Yarrowia lipolytica: one gene and its partner. The main gene of each other region encodes a partner of the protein of the gene in region 2 in a complex. Links are inferred from orthologs where the notes say so. Each region holds a gene or a part of one and is shown on either strand. Other genes may lie near its edges.

Region 1 (3,228 bases), on a different chromosome or scaffold from region 2:
CCACTGGAACTCTTCGGTGACTCATCATAGGCAATTCTGGCCCATGTACTGCGGTGAGATGGCTGGCGCTCTGAGCAACTCGCAGCTTCGGCATTTACACCTTGAGTGCAAGGAGGATGACAGAGGCACACTTATGATCCCATACGTGTGCCTCAGTTACATCGTTGCCAACCTCTCACCTCACTTGGAAGGTCTTGGTATTTCATATCCCCTCCTCGACACTGACCACAGTTACAATCGATCCTACTCGAACTATGGAAATGGCGAAACGTTACAGGATCTCTTAAAGTACCTTAATGTCAAGTATCTTGATCTCCTAAACTGTGGACCCCCTCCGCGAGCATGTTCCCTAGTTGGTGGGGGAGCTGTTGCCATACCTGGATTCGAAGATGGCCACCACCCTGATGATTACAGCCGCGTCATCCGAGAGATACTACCCGCCATCCCATCCACTCGCTACGTGGGTATTGGATCGCATGTTTTTGACGTAAGAGATCCTTCCCGGTTACCTATTGTTAGAGACGGACTTCGAGAGTGGTTTATCGACAAACTCCTGGGGCTTGAGAATACCTCATAGTAATTCTCACGACCATCACGAATCATGATGACTTTTACGACTTTCACGACTTTCACGACTTTCACGACTTTCACGACTTTCACGACTTTCACGACTTTCACGACTTTCACGACCTTTACGACCTTTACGACCTTTACGACTTACGACTTTTCCGACCTTATGACGCTTATGACCTTTATGACCTTTACGACGCTCACGACCTTTACGACCTTTACGACCTTTACGACTTACGACTTTTCCGACCTTATGACCCTTACGACCTTTATGACATCTATAACCTTTATGACCTTTATGACCTTTATGACCTTTATGACCCTTCTGATGACTTTATGACTTTATGACCCGCTTTATCCATGATCCCCACGATCATCACGACCTTGCTATTACGACACTGTTTATAAAGTCCTATGACCCTTATGATATTAATGACTCTAATGACTCTAATGACTCTACGATTTTCGTGACCTCACAGCACACACAACATCCCTTCAATACATATTTAAAAAAATAATGATATCTATTAGCGTACAAATCTATGCCGATACCGGTATCATAGTTACTGACAACTGAAAAATTATATGTGTAAGTTGTCAACATTGAGGATGCCAAGGGTACTTGTATCTGCGCATGAGGTATGCCAAGAACCATGAGACAAATTCGAGTGTACTGTTCTTGTAGCTACTGGATATCGGTAGTACAAAAGATGCGCTTTCCGACACTGTAATGTCAATAGAAGTTTGTGAAATAATATACCAAAATACCAAACACCAAGCTCGGAACTTAGATGATCGTCAAAATATTCAACCGTCGTAGAATCTCGAAAAACAATAATGATCCGTCCGTTCAGATTAAAGTTGGAACTGCGCCTCCACACGGCACTTGAATTGGTCACCTCAACATCATTAGTGGTATGATAGAAAGATGGCGGTGATGCTGAAGCTGGCGGTTGCCTCTACCAAGTCGGGTTTTGTTTTCTGTGATCTAATATAATTGCGCAAAGATGCGGTATCCCTTCGTGGTTTCACCACTTATAAGCCTACAGTGTGCACACATCTGCAGTGTTAAACCATGCCAGTCCGGGGGGGTTCTAAGCAGATACAACTTTGATCACCAGAAGGGTGCGTGAGCAGCTGCGCAAGACACCCGACACTCACAACCCAGACTTTACAGCTGCTAACCACACGTTGACCGCCACAACCAGGATCCGTTGACGACACAAATTAAGGGCAAATTCGACAAAACTAGCATAATCGCATTGCTATAAAAGACACGGTTTCACCATGGGAAAAGCAGCATCGAAACTGTCTAAGGACGAGCTCACTGAGCTCAAGAAAGCAACCTACTTCGACCGAAAGGAACTGCAGCAATGGTACAAGGGCTTTCTCAAGGATTGCCCGTCTGGCCAGCTGAACAAGGAAGAGTTCCAAAAGATCTATCGACAATTCTTCCCATTCGGCGACCCTTCCATGTTCAGTGAATACGTCTTCAACGTTTTTGACAAAGACAAGAGCGGAACGGTGGATTACAAGGAATTCATCTGTGCGATCAGTGTAACCTCGCGTGGAACCCTTGAGGAGAAGCTAGAATGGGCCTTCCAGTTGTACGACATCAACGGCGATGGTAAGATCAGCTACGATGAAATGCTTGCCATTGTCACGGCCATCTACAAGATGGTTGGCTCAATGGTCAAACTACCTGAGGATGAAAGTACACCCGAGAAGCGAGTGGACAAGATTTTCCGTCAAATGGACAAGGATCGAAATGGTGAGCTGACTCTGGAAGAATTCCGAGAGGGATCCAAGGTTGATCCCACCATCGTCAGTGCTCTTAATTTATATGACGGACTTGTCTAACGAGGTCCTTGATTGTCGTCCACAACCTATGTATCCAATATACCTTCATATTTTGTTTCATTCAGCTTATTAAATGTTATAGGAAGCATGGTTCCTTTTAATACTGTTATCTCTTTGTAGGTCACACACGGATAGTTAGCTACAGTATGCTCTATTTACCCAAAACGCCAGGCAGAGGCTCGCTACCAACGCTCATCATGAGCTTGATACCGAGAGTAATGGTAATCAGAGCGACAACTGCAGTCCAGAAGAAAAGCTGGAACTGGACGCTCACGTCCTGCTTCTGGCACAACTTTCCTCCTCGGCCAGTCTTGCACTTGCATGTGTAGGCAGACTCGCCACGGCCCTTGGAGCAAGCACCATGGCCTGAGCAGTTATTTGTCTTCTCGTTGCACTCATCCTCAGAGCCAAATCTGGCAATACCAATAGCCTGCTTCTTCTTGGAGGCTGCTAGGCGGCCACGTTTCTCCTTGTTTGTAGCTCGGAGGCATGAGGGGGCGTACACGACGGTGACAGGATTCTTTTCGTCGGCGTTAGAAATCAGCTCTTCAATATGGCTTGACGAAGACGACATTATGAGGGAAGCCTTGGCAGCTCCATGCTTTTGTTCCAGTCGGTGACTCAGTTTCTGAATAGCGCCCATATCGATGGCGGACTCAATTGCGTAAAGAGCCCCAGAGTCGTCGTTAGCATGATCAGAGAATAAAACGGTATGGGAGTCCACAGGGCCCAATCCCATCTGAGGAAGAGCGAAAAAGAACTGCTCCTTCTCGGCCAACTGGTTGCCGTTGAGACCAC
Region 2 (5,209 bases):
AAATCGGAATCGATGAGGTACGTTGAACTTTATTTTCAATAAGCCTTATTGAAAAAACTCACAAAAGAACTCTAAATAGACAATCATTTACTTAGAATTTACTAGACAAAATTCGCTCTGACTCATACTATAGGTACAACAGATCCCACCAAAGATATCTCCGGGCTCTCAGCAAAAACGGGTTGTGGAAAGGAAAAAAACAATTAGCGGCACCTGGTTTCGATCCAGGGACATCAAGGTTATGAGCCCTGCGCGCTTCCGCTGCGCCATGCCGCTCGAAGATAGATAGAGTAGAGAGTGAGTTCTGGCTAGTAATGATGAAAAAAGTGATTTTCGAGTTTTTTGAAAACGGCCTGAAACCTGAAGATAACAAGTGAAACAAGAGACAACAGTATATACTCTTAATCCTGTGCTTTCAACTTACATCTCAAGAAAACATTTCTTTCATAATCCATTGCTAATCGAGACAGTGGTGTGCTCGTGCGATGCCCACAATGATTCCTTGACATGAAAGAGGTACCGTACACCGAATGGTTATTCAACCTTTGAGGGATAAGTGGCTGCAGTTTCCTCCCTAATCTTACTTCTCAAACGTGAGAAAAGTGACCCTACAACACTCAACGGCAGCATCCATATACACTACGCCCATCTACGTTAGGCGACAACTACATACTTACTAGTAGAAGACCTCAAAAGGAAACGATTGCGACTCTCTTACTCTTCAAACTACAATCTTCTTGTACACACAGTGTTGATATGTTCATATATTCTTCCATTAGATCTATAACCATGTGCGACATCCCGTCGGCTTAACTGTAAATACCCTGAGTGTACAACTGGAAGTGGTCGTAGATTCTGGTGTAAATGTTGCCGACCGACTTTTGGATCAGGGACGTGTCCACGAAATGGTCCAAGTCCGAATCCGACAATTGTAGCTGGAATCGCTGTCGCAGGTACTGTGTGGTGGCCGGGCCCAGTTGGAAACAGGGCAGAGCAGAATCCTGTAACATCATGTCGACCAGCAAGATGATCGACTCGGCCTGCTTTCGCAGGTTCTTGAACGCGTCCTTCATCAGCTGTCGGTACAGCTCAAAATGGGGCGAGGTCATACCCCCCATGAGCTCCACGTACTCGTAGGTGAGCTTGAATGGGGCAGCTTCAAGACCGACTCCTCCAGGACTGTTGGACAACATGAATCCGAAATCGATATGCATAATATGACCGTCCGTATCAAGCAAAATGTTACCATTGTGTCTGTCCTTGATCTGGAGAATGTAACAGATGATGGAGTAAGCGGCAAGCGAACGAACAAAGGCGTTCAAAGAGTTCTGGTACCGGTCGGAGTCCTCGTCGCCAAACGTCTGCTTCCAGTACTCAGTCAGAGTAGGCACGTACTTGGTTGTGGTCTGAGTGGCAGCTGTAGTCTGGACAACATTGCTTGTCTCGAGCGCCTTTTTGATAGAATGGATCGACAGACCATTGTTGATGGTCTCAATGAGTCCAGAGGTGTCAGACGTGATCAGAATCTTCATCTCCTTGACCCACACGCCTGTCTCAGCGTCGTCCCAGATTCGTTTCATAGCTTGGATTAGCTGGCAGGCAAATGCCTCTTGCCGAAGATCGTTTCCGGTCTTGGCAATGACCGAAGCCAGCTGCCAGTTGGGCAAGTGCCCATACGGCGACTTTGACCTGATTCGTGCCTTTTTCGATTCCCAGTCTTCTCCGAGCTTGGCATGCGAGGGGTCCGACGACTTCATCATACCACCAGTTTTCAGATCGTTTTCCAACTTTCGCTCACCCGCAGCGCCCTTGGAGAGCGACAAGTCACGGTCGTCCAGAGTCGTCTCTTCCATAACCTGCATGTTATCGATGATTCGGGCCTTGATCGATGCGATTTCGTCCTTGGAAAGCTTAGATCCTGTGGAGGAGTCCAGCTGTGTCAGCATGATGGCAGCTGTACGCATCTGGGTGGCCACAGACGCCACGTCGGGCAGCTCCAAGTGATTGACGGGGTCCTCAGGCGCCTTCTCGAACTTGTACGAAGACGCAAACGACAAATCTGATGTTCGAGGAGAAGATTGATACGGACTGTTGGCCACATCATGCAGTTTGGGAGAGGGCATGCTCTCTTGGAGATGGGACAGGGTGTTGAGCACGGATTGTTTCACGCGCTCGGCCTGAGTCTCCTCGTCCATGGAGATAACAGAAATGTCTCCAATGTCAGCATCTTCAGCTGGCAGCTCGTCGTCTTCAGCAATGCCAAGCTCCTCCAATTCAGCAATGGTTGAACCAACCAGAGAGTTGGCGATCGACGTGGCCGATCGGTTGCTCTTGATACTGGCAGCATCCTCGTCGTGGTATCGTCCAAGAGAAGGGGTTCGAGCATGAGACGATTTTTTGTGGTTCACAGTGAGATCGAAAATGTACTTCTTCTTGTCTGCATGCTCCAGAACCTCCTTGTTCTTTGCACACTCGGGGTCGAACGTCATGTCGTCTTCCAGGTACTCAATCAGAATGAGGAAAGGCACTCGCTCAGCCGAATTCAGTACAGCTGACTCGGCGGGAGGCACTCGCACGATTCTGTGGTGTGTGGGGTTCTTTCTCATTGTGTCCGAGGGAACCAAAAGGGGAATGTCGACCTCAGCAGGAAGCTCCTGGTTCAGAAGAGTGAGCTCGGCCTTCAGAGCAGCATGACGGGCTTGCTTAGGCACCTGAAGAAGTCGAGCGGAGATTTGTTGCAGGGCTGACATGAACTGTGTCTCACATCGGAAGTAGTTTGATCGCAGAATCTTTCGTTGGTCGTCCTTGGCTCGCTCCTCGATGTCGTCCGGAGAGGTGTCACGTGGCTCCTCGGATTCGAAGCCGGGTGCATCGTCAAACTCCAGACTCACCGGCGTTCGAGTGCCGTCCCACTCGTTTGAAGGGCGTAGATCGGGGGCCGAATGGTATGCGTTTTGGAGATCGGGAGCCGAAAAGGACGAGTTTTTGTAGGGCGTTGCTTTGGGGGCGTCTCTGAAATGCTCATGCTGGTGCTTCTCCCGTTTGGACGGCAGTGCGACACCAGATTGGCTGATGGTCCGCCATTTTCGCTGTAGAAGGGCGTCTCTGTCAGCCTCCACGGTCGATCTAGAACGGGTCAGTTTGGGTGCAATCTGGAACACGTACGACCTCTGTTTTCGGCCCTGTGAAAGCGCAATGGGTCCCACAGCTGCGGCCATCTGCGGCATGCCAATGGCTCCCATGATTGCCGAGGCCAGAACCATGGCAGGCATGGGGTTCTCTCTGATTCGCGAGTTGGGCGGCTCGCCAATGTTGAACAGAATGTACTGCAGCTTGTTGTAGACTCGTCGCGACACCTGGAAGCCGAAAGATTCGGGATCATCTCCCAGATCGGTCAGATGTGCCTGCAGTTGCCAGAACGTCAGCAAGGCACAGTGCGCAGACACGTTGGAGAGATCCAGAATGATGTCTTCGAGGGCCATGGACTCGGTTTCCACCGTGATGAGAAGCTGGACCAGCTGGGGCAGGATGAACTCGATTTCGTCTCGCGGAAACGACAGCAGCTTCTGACACAGATAGAAGTGAATACCAATGTCGCCCGCGTATCGCTCGAGATAGGACAAGCACCGGAAGAGCGTGAACTGGTCGGACTCCACGAACCGCCTTAGCGACGAGTTTCGTTGGTATTGCATGATGATCTAACGTGTGTGCGTGTGTACGTGTGTGTGTGTGTGTGGTGTGTGATGAGCTGTCTGGCGTATGGCAGGTTGGTGTTGCGTGAAGAGGGTGGTGTGTTGTGTAGTCCTGATCACGACAGAGATGTAATGTCGCAGTTGTTTGTCGGTGGTCGCGTCGAACTCTCCTTGTCGTGGCAACTCAGGTCTACCGTCGCACCTCCAGTGTCGAACCTCGGATGTGTGCTGTGTGGTACCTTGTCGAGATAAACTCGGCCAAACCTTACACGGAGTGAATAAGGTGTAGACATGGCAACTTCTTGACGTGTACAAGATGGAGAAGGACAGAGACGAACGAACGAGGAATATAAAGAATATAAATATGGTGGGAAGCGCGGGGGGGTCAAAGTATTTATATTATTCGCCCGTGTTTGTGTTTCATTACACAAAACTAAATCAACGCGCCCAATTCCTCGGCCCATGGCAATGCCAAACATGTACTATGATACTGGGTACACTGCTCTCACATTATGCTACACCCCTACCTCCAACCTTTGGCCTCCACCTCCCAAATAATTACACTTGCAACTGTACCTGAGAATAGGTGTCGTGTGAGCTGGCCTCAAGAGGGTAACACTGACGAGCGTAACGTTGGTCATGTGACTTTGGCGAGGCGTCGAGGAGGTTGGAATGCTGGTGTTCATTTTTTTCCTACTCCGTCTTTGTAATGACGAGATACACGCATATCATCATGTACCCATAAGTAGTGTGAAGACTGGGAATCTCTAAACAAGTGATGAGATGACGGGGGAAATGTATTAGTAACAGACCAATTGCGGGGATTCAATTGGTTTAGAGGTAGTTGAATATTAGTAAGCAAAACAGGGACTAATGAGTGTTATTACCTGCTGGCTAATTTTTCTGGTTGCACCTGTTTGTCCTGATTCGGAAACTCCACTGAACTTTTCAAGGCGTTTCAGATATCGGTCTGCCACTTTTGAGCTTTTTACACTTACTTAGCTTTTCGGTGCTAGGACGCGGGGATAGTGGTGCGGGGTGAGGAAAATTAGTCCCATGTGGCCAGAAGTTGGTCTGGGGGAATCAGATCCGTCTCTTGGTGTTCATTGTCGGGCCGAACAACACTAGCATTGCTGTGAGCGAGACTAGACGAATGTTTGGTTTCTCAACGATAGCCTGGATTAATCTTAACTAATTACTTTACATTTGGTATGATATCATTGAGCTTCTCATGTATATGCAGAAAAAAAATCTCAGCTATCAAAAGAAATTTAAATCCTTTCGTTTGTCTTTTTGAAAGTAGTTCCAGTTCATTTGACTTGAGGTGCCTATGTATGATATATTGAAGATAGTACCGTACATACTCTCATGCTGTTCTTACTCTCTCCCTCAATCTGCCATCGACTGAAGATCTTCTCTCAGCCACGCGACGGACAAGGTCACAAACCGACTTTTTCACATTGATTCATTACGAAATACCCACCTTTTTCAACTCCCCATGTCTATACATTCACCAT

What was found.
Region 1: the proteins of YALI1_B03719g (region 2) and YALI1_E18242g are in contact, whole or in part, in an NMR structure (PDB 2JU0), measured with the Saccharomyces cerevisiae proteins. The link is inferred for Yarrowia lipolytica from reciprocal best matches to the Saccharomyces cerevisiae genes PIK1 and FRQ1. Residues at the interface, in NP_014132.1 of Saccharomyces cerevisiae: Ser122, Tyr123, Gly124, Phe125, Val127, Ala128, Val131, Asn134, Leu135, Gln136, Asn138, Asn141, Thr142, Ser143, Lys151, Glu154, Asn155, Val156, Ala157, Pro158, Ala159, Leu160, Val161, Ser163, Ser164, Met165, Met167, Ser168, Ile170; in NP_010661.3 of Saccharomyces cerevisiae: Trp30, Gly33, Phe34, Arg36, Asp37, Ile51, Tyr52, Phe55, Phe56, Phe64, Phe72, Phe85, Leu89, Thr92, Ser93, Arg94, Lys100, Leu107, Tyr108, Met132, Ser134, Met135, Glu142, Arg148, Lys151, Leu155, Asp176.

What each region holds. Positions count from the first base shown.
Region 1 is NC_090774.1:1,822,411-1,825,638, forward strand, and holds YALI1_E18242g (uncharacterized protein), read left to right. Parts: upstream 1-1,857; coding exon 1,858-2,430; downstream 2,431-3,228. Other genes in the region: YALI1_E18212g (uncharacterized protein), read left to right, coding at 1-577; YALI1_E18258g (uncharacterized protein), read right to left, coding at 2,582-3,228.
Region 2 is NC_090771.1:368,225-373,433, forward strand, and holds YALI1_B03719g (uncharacterized protein), read right to left. Parts: upstream 3,693-5,209; coding exon 810-3,692; downstream 1-809. UniProt on the Saccharomyces cerevisiae protein: Acts on phosphatidylinositol (PI) in the first committed step in the production of the second messenger inositol 1,4,5,-trisphosphate. PIK1 is part of a nuclear phosphoinositide cycle and could control cytokinesis through the actin cytoskeleton.